2 linked regions of the Cricetulus griseus genome follow. Each later gene encodes a partner of the first gene's protein in a complex. Links are inferred from orthologs where the notes say so. Each region holds a gene or a part of one and is shown in the gene's direction. Other genes may lie near its edges.

Region 1 (4,250 bases):
AAAATAAAATAAATAAAGCCGGGCGTTGGTGGCGCACGCCTTTAATCCCAGCACTCTGGAGGCAGAGGTAGGCGGATATCTGTGAGTTCGAGGCCAGCCTGGTGTCCAGAGCAAGTGCCAGGATAGGCTCCAAAGCTACACAGAGAAGCACTGTCTCGAAAAACCAAAAATAAATAAAAATAAGTAAATCAACAAACAAAAAAGAAAAAGAGGATGGTAGCATTAGTAGCTTCACATTAGTAAGGTTAGCCTGATAGTGGAGTGAAAGAAAATTAGTCAAAACTGGAGTCAGGACACAGGTAATGAGGCCAGTTCCCCATAAGATATACTGGCAGCTTGCCTTAGGCAATGGTAATGATGGATAAGCTATATACAGTGAGGACACTGAAAATATAGGTTTGGGGGAAAAAAATTAAGAAACCACCTAAGGGTTTCTTGCTAAAACACTGAAGAGATGGTGATAGCTTAAATCAAGATACTCAGAAGGGGAAAATTGAGATTTTTCAGTGGAAAACCCAGCAACTCAACGTTAGGCAGGCTTTAGATTAGTGATTTTTCCCCTGGTCTCCTCATTGCACTTTGAGAACCAAATGAGATGTTTTGTTAGGTATGATAATACCAGTGAGAATGGAAAAGCTGGCCACCAAACAAAAGCACGCACTACTGTCACCACACAAAGGACACAACAGGTTGTGTGGGAGGACAGCTGCAGAAAATGGCCTCTAATTCTAGTGGAGCGAATGCTGCACCTAGTATTTTTCCACTCCTGCTGTGACTCACAGCCAAAGATGGCGCCTCAAGAAGAATCGAGCAAAGGGGGAGGGGGGCGTTGGAAAACGTGACGTTCTTAATTCTTGTTTTCACCACAGTCAACAGCGCCAGCGGGATTGCAATCTCGTGGGGATCCTCATTCACGCTTAAAAGCACGATTCATTTTGTGGGCGCACGATGTAGGGGGTGACAAGTCTTCCTGGACTGCACTGCATTCATTCACCCATTCATTCATTCCTATTCATTCTTGTATGTTTTCTACGCTGGGCGCGGGCCCGTCAGCTTCCACCTCTGCTTCTCCCCACAGCGCTTCCAGTCCTGAGGCATGACGCTTCTCCCGAGGCGATGGCATATTGCCCTCGGAGAGAACGAGCACTCCTGACCCACTTCCGGCTCCACGGGCGGAACCTCGGGCTCCCGCGCGCGCCCGCGTCAGAGCGCGCGCACGCCGGACTCTCAAGAGCCCGCAGGCACGAGCAGCCGACAGCGCTCGGCTGCCGCCGGGGAGGGGGCGGGGCCTAGGTCCAGCCCGGAGCTTGGGCCTCCGGACCCAGTTACCTAGGCAACGGCAGCAGAGGCGAGCCTGACGTCAGCGGGCGGCGCGCAGCCCGCACTGCGGCACCAGGGCCCCTCTTCAAAGCGCGCGTCGCCAGCGGTTGAGGCTGCCGTGCCGGAGTCTCCGTCGGGCCGCCTAGCTGGGCGCGGGGAGCCGCTTCGCACTGCCGGGCTGTCGCTCGGGCGGGACAGGCCGCGCTGCGCGCTCCTCTCTGTGAGTACCCTGCGGGCGCGCTGTGTCGGGAGCCGGGGTGCGGGCGCTCGGCCCTGCCGGCCGGCCTCTCGGGGGCGGCGAGGGGGCTGCTGGAGGCCGGGAGCGCGGGGCAGCACTGCGCCATGCAGGTCGAGCTTGGCCTGCGCCCCGCGCGCGGCCGAGGATGCCGCTGCGAGCTACTTCTGCCTACTCTCCCGCTCTCCTGGTCCAGGCTGCCCAGCATGGTGCTCCGATGGAGGGGATGCAGCCTCTTCCTCTCTGCTCGCAGTGCGGGCTTAATTAAATGCCCCTCAAGTTGATGCGTACCGAGTCTATTTCCTTTTAGATGTCATCCTGGTACTAAAGGACGTGCTGTTCTCTTAATTACTTACATCTATGAAGAGTGATCGATGGGTCCTATATGGAAGAGTCAGGTTATATCGATAGGATCATTTCAGTCTGTGTAAACCTCCCCGGAACGGAGGCTACTTAAAAATCTACCAAATGCTTGCTCTGCCTTTATTGTCACTATAAAAACATCCCCCGAAATGTTCCCTCTCCGTTTTTTAAAGAAAAAGATGCTAACAGGCTTTTCACCTGTTGCATAAATGACTGCATGAGCTTTCAGGAGAAGATGTTTGTTATGAGGTGGATGGGGAATTTTTTTTTAAGGATATTTGAAACAAATTCAAATGCCAATAATTTTAACAGTATTTAGAATATTATTTATTTATGAGGATACCACTGACTTATTGGTTGAATTATGCTGCTTTTTTTCTTTGAAAATTTGTTACAGAGGAGGAAATCATCAAGTGCGTATGCTTTTTTTCTTGCCTTGATGTGTAGGCGTGTACTCCATGTTTTTCCAGAGCAGGGAGGGAATGTAATCCGGTTAATTTTTCTGCGTAGTCTCGCATAGGAGCTTCTGTAAAGCTTCTTCGGATGACGAAATCTTAAAATAATGGTATAATGATATCTAATATCGTGTATAATAATTTTGAAAATCAAAAAATTGTCCTATAAAATCATATATACAAAATTGGAGATGTTTTATTAAACCTAACCTTAAATTTTGGTGATGTTATTAAATATCAGTTATTCTGTTTTTCTGTAGTATACCTTAACATTAAAAGATGATTATTTCTGTACTGTATTTGCTGTGTTATCATTAAATATTAGTGTTTAAAAAAATTAGTGTTTATTCAGTTGTGCCTCAAAATATCAAACAATATTAGATTTATATAAATATATTAAATTAATCGTGTGTTTTCTTTTTTAATTATTTGCTAAATGGGCATAAAGCAAATTTACTGAGTACCTGCAATGTGTGATTTATTTTATTTTTATTTTATTTTGCAATTTTTTTCTCCTTTCAACAAGTAGGTGCCATTTTAAGATCTTAGACATTTTAAAAAAAATTTTTAAAAAAACCAAGGCCTAGTGAAATTAATACCTTATCCAAAGCCATTTATCAGTAAATAACAGGATGGTACTAGAATCATTGTTAATTGCTTCTTTTTCATTTTAAACTGAGGCACAGACCTGGCCCTCCAGAGGCTAGCTCTGTGTGTGTGTGTGTGTGTGTGTGTGTGTGTGTGTGTGTGTGTGTATGTGTGTGTGTGTGTGTGTTGGGGTGATGTCACAGAATATAGCATTTTACAAGGACGAAAGTTGAGGGTTTGAAATCAATGGATTGATGAAGAACAGAGTATCTTGTGGAGCTGGTATCGAATTCAGGATCTTGCAGATGCCTGGCAAGCATTCTACCATTGAGCTACATCCTCAGCTTCCCCTCCCCCACAACAAAGAAAAATTCCTTTCCAGATGTTTTTATCCTTCCAAGGTGTAAGAAAATTCTAGAATGAATTTATCTACATGCCTCTCTCACATATCACATTCTTTAAACCTGTGACTGTCAGCTTTCTGTAAAAAGCTATGGCACATGTGACTTCCTGATTATAAATCTATAGTAGGTAGGCATCCTTCAAAATTTACAGCATCTTTTGACAGCATACAGTATAGATTATTTTCTCTGTGTAACACTCCATTTTCTCATTTTTTGAAACCAGTCTCCTTGAATTGTTTTTATTTTGCAGGGTTCAAAGTTAACCCTTTTGGCATTTTATGTTACCGAAACCATTACATATAGGTGATGCCCAAATCTGCAGCCTCTACCTATTGGTTTAATACATTCTACTGCCTGCTAAACATAGTATTATGCTATTATTTTTATTAAACAATGTTATTACTGCTATATTTGTATATTTGAAAGCTTGCTATGTGACAAATATTGTACCAAGTGTTTTGCTTGTATATTCTTATTTACTGTTTATAAAATCTTACGAGTGATTTACTCTTAGTCCCTTGACAAATTAGGAAATTGAGGTCTACAGATATTAGTCTCTTGGAAGATGAAACTGGAATTTGAACCCAGGAGTCTGTTAACTAATTTGATTCTTGTAGTTGCTTAGTACTCCTTCGATGCCCAGTCAGTATGCCTCACACTAAGCTAAGTGCCCCATGAGAATTACCTATTATAAGTGTACCTATCATTTATTGGTACTTATTTAACTATAGTAAATCATATAATTATTAGAATTACCCATAGAACAATGAGTAAGCACTGTTTACAGGCAAAGTTTACAAATAAACAGATGCATGAATGTCTGATGTCACACAGGTAGCCATGGGAAACTAATTCTAAGAGTTGGGTTTAAAACTATTCTGTTAT
Region 2 (4,390 bases), on another chromosome or scaffold:
AGGGTCCTTTTCATGGTTGGATAAATAATAAAACCTTGCTTTTACAGTTCAGTGGGTCTGTCTCCCTGGTGGTCTTTGGGGATCTTTGAGACTTGGGCACAACACTTGTTTTAGTGCAGTATTTATTTATCTATTTATTTATTTATTTATTATTGGTTTTTCAAGACAGGGTTTCTCTGTAGCTTTGGAGGCTGTCCTGGAACTCACTCAGTAGACCAGGCTGACCTTGAACTCACAGAGCTCTGCCTGCTTCTGCCTCCCGAGTGCTGGGATTAAAAGCATGAGCCACCAGCACTTGGTCCCTTTATTTTCATCTTATGCATATGGGTGTTTTGACTGTATGCATGTGTATGTATCATGTGTATACAGTGCCCAGAGAGGTTGTTGGGTCCCCTGTGACTGGACTTAAGGATCCTGTGAAAGAGCAGCCATTCTCTCCAGCTCCTTATTACATGTTTTACTATATTTATTTACTTATTTACATATGCAGATAAGCACCATGACATGCATGTGAAGGTCAGAGGACAGCCTTTCCAGAATTAAGATGTATGTTTGGAGCCGGGGGATGGGGGCTGGAGAGATGACCCAATGGTTAAGAGCCCTGATTGCTCCTGCATCAGACCTGGAGGAAGGAGAAGTGAAGGCCAGCCCAAGCTACATAGTAAAACCCTATTTCAAAATGGATAAACAAGGGGCTAGAGAGATGGCTCAGAGGTTAAGAGCACTGACTGCTCTTCCAGAGGTCATGAGTTCAATTCCCAGCAACCACATGGTGGCTCACAACCATCCATTATGAGATCTGGTGCCCTCTTCTGGTGTGCAGATATACATGGAAGCAAAATGTTGTATACATAATAAATAAATAAAATCTTAAAAAGATTTTAAGATCTTTTTAAGGGGTTGGGGGATGGGGGTTAGGGTGGCATACACCCTTAATCCTAGCACTTGGGAGGCAGAGGCAGGTGGATCTCTGCAAATTTGAAGCCAGCCTGCTCTACAGAGAGGGTTCCAGGAGAGCCAGGGTTACACAGAGAAATCCTGTCTCAAAAAAAACAAACAAACAAACTGAAAACAACAACAAAAGACCAACTTTCTCCCATGTTGAAATAATAGTAGTAGTAAGTACTCACATAATAGATCAGCAAATGCTAACGTTGGAGAATACAGCCAGGCAGTCGTGTCCCAGGCCTTTAATCCCAGCACTCGGGAGCAAGAGGCAGGCAGAGCTTTGTGAGTTCGAGGCCAGCCTGGTCTCCAGAGCGAGTGCCAGGATAGGCTCCAAAGCTACACAGAGAAACCCTGTCTCGAAAAACAAAAACAAACTAAGTACTGGGCTCTTTCTTGTTGTTTTCTTGAAGGGACCTCAGGCACCGCATAAAATGCATCTACTATCTAATCCTGCACAGCCTTCCGCTAGCCCCACCCCTCCTAAAGGACTGCTTACTTGTTATTGGTTCCTCTGGCCGCTGTGGGTTGCCGTGGAGACTCGGCGCTGCGGCCTGCGCTCATGGCGTTGTACCAGCTCTTCTCCCATCCGGCCGAGCGCGGCTACCGCGCGGGGCTCTGCTCCAAGGCCGCGCTCTTCCTGCTGCTGGCCACCGTGCTCACCTACATCCCCCCTCTGCTAGTGGCCTTCAGAAGCCACGGTGAGCCTGCCCGGGCTTGAAGAGCCACATGGCTCGGTGCGGCCCGCTGGCCCAGGCCGGCTTTCCTGACCTGGCTCCCCAACCCGCCTTGTCTCCCGCAGGGTTTTGGCTGAAGCGGAGCAGCTACGAGGAGCAGCCTAGCGTGCGCTTCCAGCACCAGGTGCTACTCGTGGCCCTACTGGGGCCCGAGCCCGGAGCCTTCCTCGCCTGGAGCACGTTCCCCACCTTCAACCGGCTGCAGGGGGTTCACCTGCGAGTCCCGCTCGTGTCGGTGCGTGGTTCCCGCCGGGGTTCTGGGGAACAAGATGGGGGCGAGTTCCAGGGATCCCAGGTTGGATTGGGGCGGGGGGGGGGGAGTAAGGGGGAGGTCTCAAGTCTCGCAAGCTGATCTTAAACTATATAGTCAAAGACCGCCTTCAACATCTGGTTTTCCGGCCTCCACCTTCCCAGTGTTGGGATTTCAGGGCTGTGCGCTTCGCTGCGAGCACTTTATCATTGAGCCACACTCCCAGCCTCACTGCTTGGATCTCAAGGAGCTACAGGGGTTGGAAACACAGTCTTTGGCCTGCGCATGTTTAACTTTCTAGATATCTCCAGAAAGTCAGCCATGTAGTTGGTGTTTGTCTAACAAGAGTCCAGATGCCAGAGCACAGCCTGTTTCTGGTGGTGGTCACTTCTGAATGGAAAGGAGGCAGTGAAAGCCCCTTTAGGGAATTGAAAGCCGAGTTTGAGCATCACCACTTCTGTAAGGGCAGAAAGTGCCAGCGGATTTATGCAGACTGGACGCGGGGATAGGGGCGGGGACAAGCGCTGATTGGTTGCGTTTTCGGCTCCTGCTTTGGCCAAGCCATGCCTGTCAGGGTTAGGCTCACCGCACTCTGCTCCACTTTGCAGCTGTCCTCCATGAAGCTGAAGCATTTTACTGCCTGCAGTTTAGTGTTTACTTTCACGTAAATCAAATGCTCCCTTACAGGCATCCCTTTCCGTTCGTATTCTGAAAATAGTTTCCTTTCAAACGTGAATCCTTTCAGATATGGCTGGTTATTAGCCTTATAAGGAAACTTGTGTAGCTGATGGGGGAAAAAAATCGGACTTTTCCACCAACAGCTAAATAAGAGCTTTAAAATATTAAAGTCTTGTTGGTCATGTGAATAGCAATACACAAAATATAACCAGATTACTTTGCTCTTTAATGTGTGTGTGTGTGTGTGTGTGTGTGTGTGTGTGTGTGTGTGTGTGTTCCCTCTGATCACTAACCTGTAGACTCATTGTGAGATTAAAAAGGTACAGGTTTATACATGATGACAGAAAAGTAAAGGTATCAGTACTTGTTAACCAACCTTATTATTTTTAAAGTCTTTAGATTATTTAATGACATGGGCAGAATGATAAGTTTAACCAGTTATTTGTTGGTAAGTATTTTGTCACAGCAAGCACAAGCTCATTCTGTCTCACAAAACCATGGCCCTGGCAGGTGAAGTCAGAGTACAACTCGGAGGAGTCAGTTTTCTCCTTCCACCATCTCAGGAATCCAGCTCAGATTTTCAGGGTTGGCTGCAAGGGTCTTTACCTGCTGAGCTATTTCACTGTCCACCCTTTTTTTTTTTTTAAATAATTTGCCTCAATTTAATTTTTTTCACTATTAGACTTTTTTTATTTTTTTATTTTTTGAGACAGTGTTTCTCTGGAGCTTTGGAGGCTGTCCTGGAACTCACTTAGACTAGGCTGGCCTCGAATTCACAGAGATCTGCCTGTCTCTGCCTTCTGAGTGCTGGGATTAAAGAACTTAGAATTAATATCTAAATAACAAATTTTTGACTAAGCCTTATGCCTTTTTCATTCTTTTCAAGATGGATTATTGTTATCTTGCCTGCCCAAGCTGGCTGAAGCAATAAGCCCCCTTCAGTCTTCTAAGAAGCGGGCTATAGGCATGACCGCTTGTCCAGACTTAAACCATACACCTTTAAATGTCAATGGAAGATGTCGTTGAAATTTTATGCACACAAAGAAAACGAAGCAAGCAAATAAAATAATTGTTAACTTCAGGGAAATAAAACACAAGAAAATGCAAAGCAGGAAATTCGGTCGGCATTGTGAACAGGACTGGCGAAGTCCTGATTACAACAATGAATACTGACTGACCGAAATATGAATCTAGCTCAATTGAAGGGTTGAGAGAGGGATGTATGTGATGAGGGTTGGTAGGAAGAGGGGAACTCAGGCTCCAGCTTTGTTCATGGAGTGTCAGTAGAGAATACTCCAGACAGAAATGGAGATACACCCAAACAAATGTTATCAAACACCTAGGAAAGCATTTCTACACACACTCATCAAGTAACAGGTAAAAGGTTTTGCTGTGGAAATCATGTGGTTTTTATAACACCACTGATCTCTTTTATTCTTTAAATGACCAGTTCTCTTCCCCCACAACACAAACACATACCCCCTTTGTTATTTTGAGATTGTGTGGCATGTAGCCCAGGGTAGCTTGGAGCTGAGGATGACCCTAAAGACTTTGAGCTCCTGTGCCTGCCCCCAGCTGAGATTGCAGTCATGGGCCCACCATGCCTGTTTTTATTACTTACTTACTGTGGTTCTGGTGAGCCAACCCAGGATCTCAAAATGGCTATGCAAGTGTTCTGCCCACGAAGCAACACTCCCAGGGCTTTGTGGTTGGCCATGAACTGGTGATCCTTCTGCCTCCTTTTACTAAGTACTAGGGTTACAAGCAAGGACTACCAAAC

The links.
Region 2: Ahi1 (region 1) and Tmem231 share a complex: the UniProt entries of both Homo sapiens proteins name them as parts of the tectonic-like complex. The link is inferred for Cricetulus griseus from reciprocal best matches to the Homo sapiens genes AHI1 and TMEM231.

What each region holds. Positions count from the first base shown.
Region 1 is NC_048595.1:268,869,302-268,873,551, reverse strand, and holds the start of Ahi1 (jouberin), read left to right. Parts: upstream 1-1,365; 5' UTR 1,366-1,540; intron 1,541-4,250. UniProt on the Homo sapiens protein: Involved in vesicle trafficking and required for ciliogenesis, formation of primary non-motile cilium, and recruitment of RAB8A to the basal body of primary cilium.
Region 2 is NC_048596.1:188,336,468-188,340,857, reverse strand, and holds the start of Tmem231 (transmembrane protein 231), read left to right. Parts: upstream 1-1,463; 5' UTR 1,464-1,507; coding exon 1,508-1,646; intron 1,647-1,747; coding exon 1,748-1,917; intron 1,918-4,390. UniProt on the Homo sapiens protein: Transmembrane component of the tectonic-like complex, a complex localized at the transition zone of primary cilia and acting as a barrier that prevents diffusion of transmembrane proteins between the cilia and plasma membranes.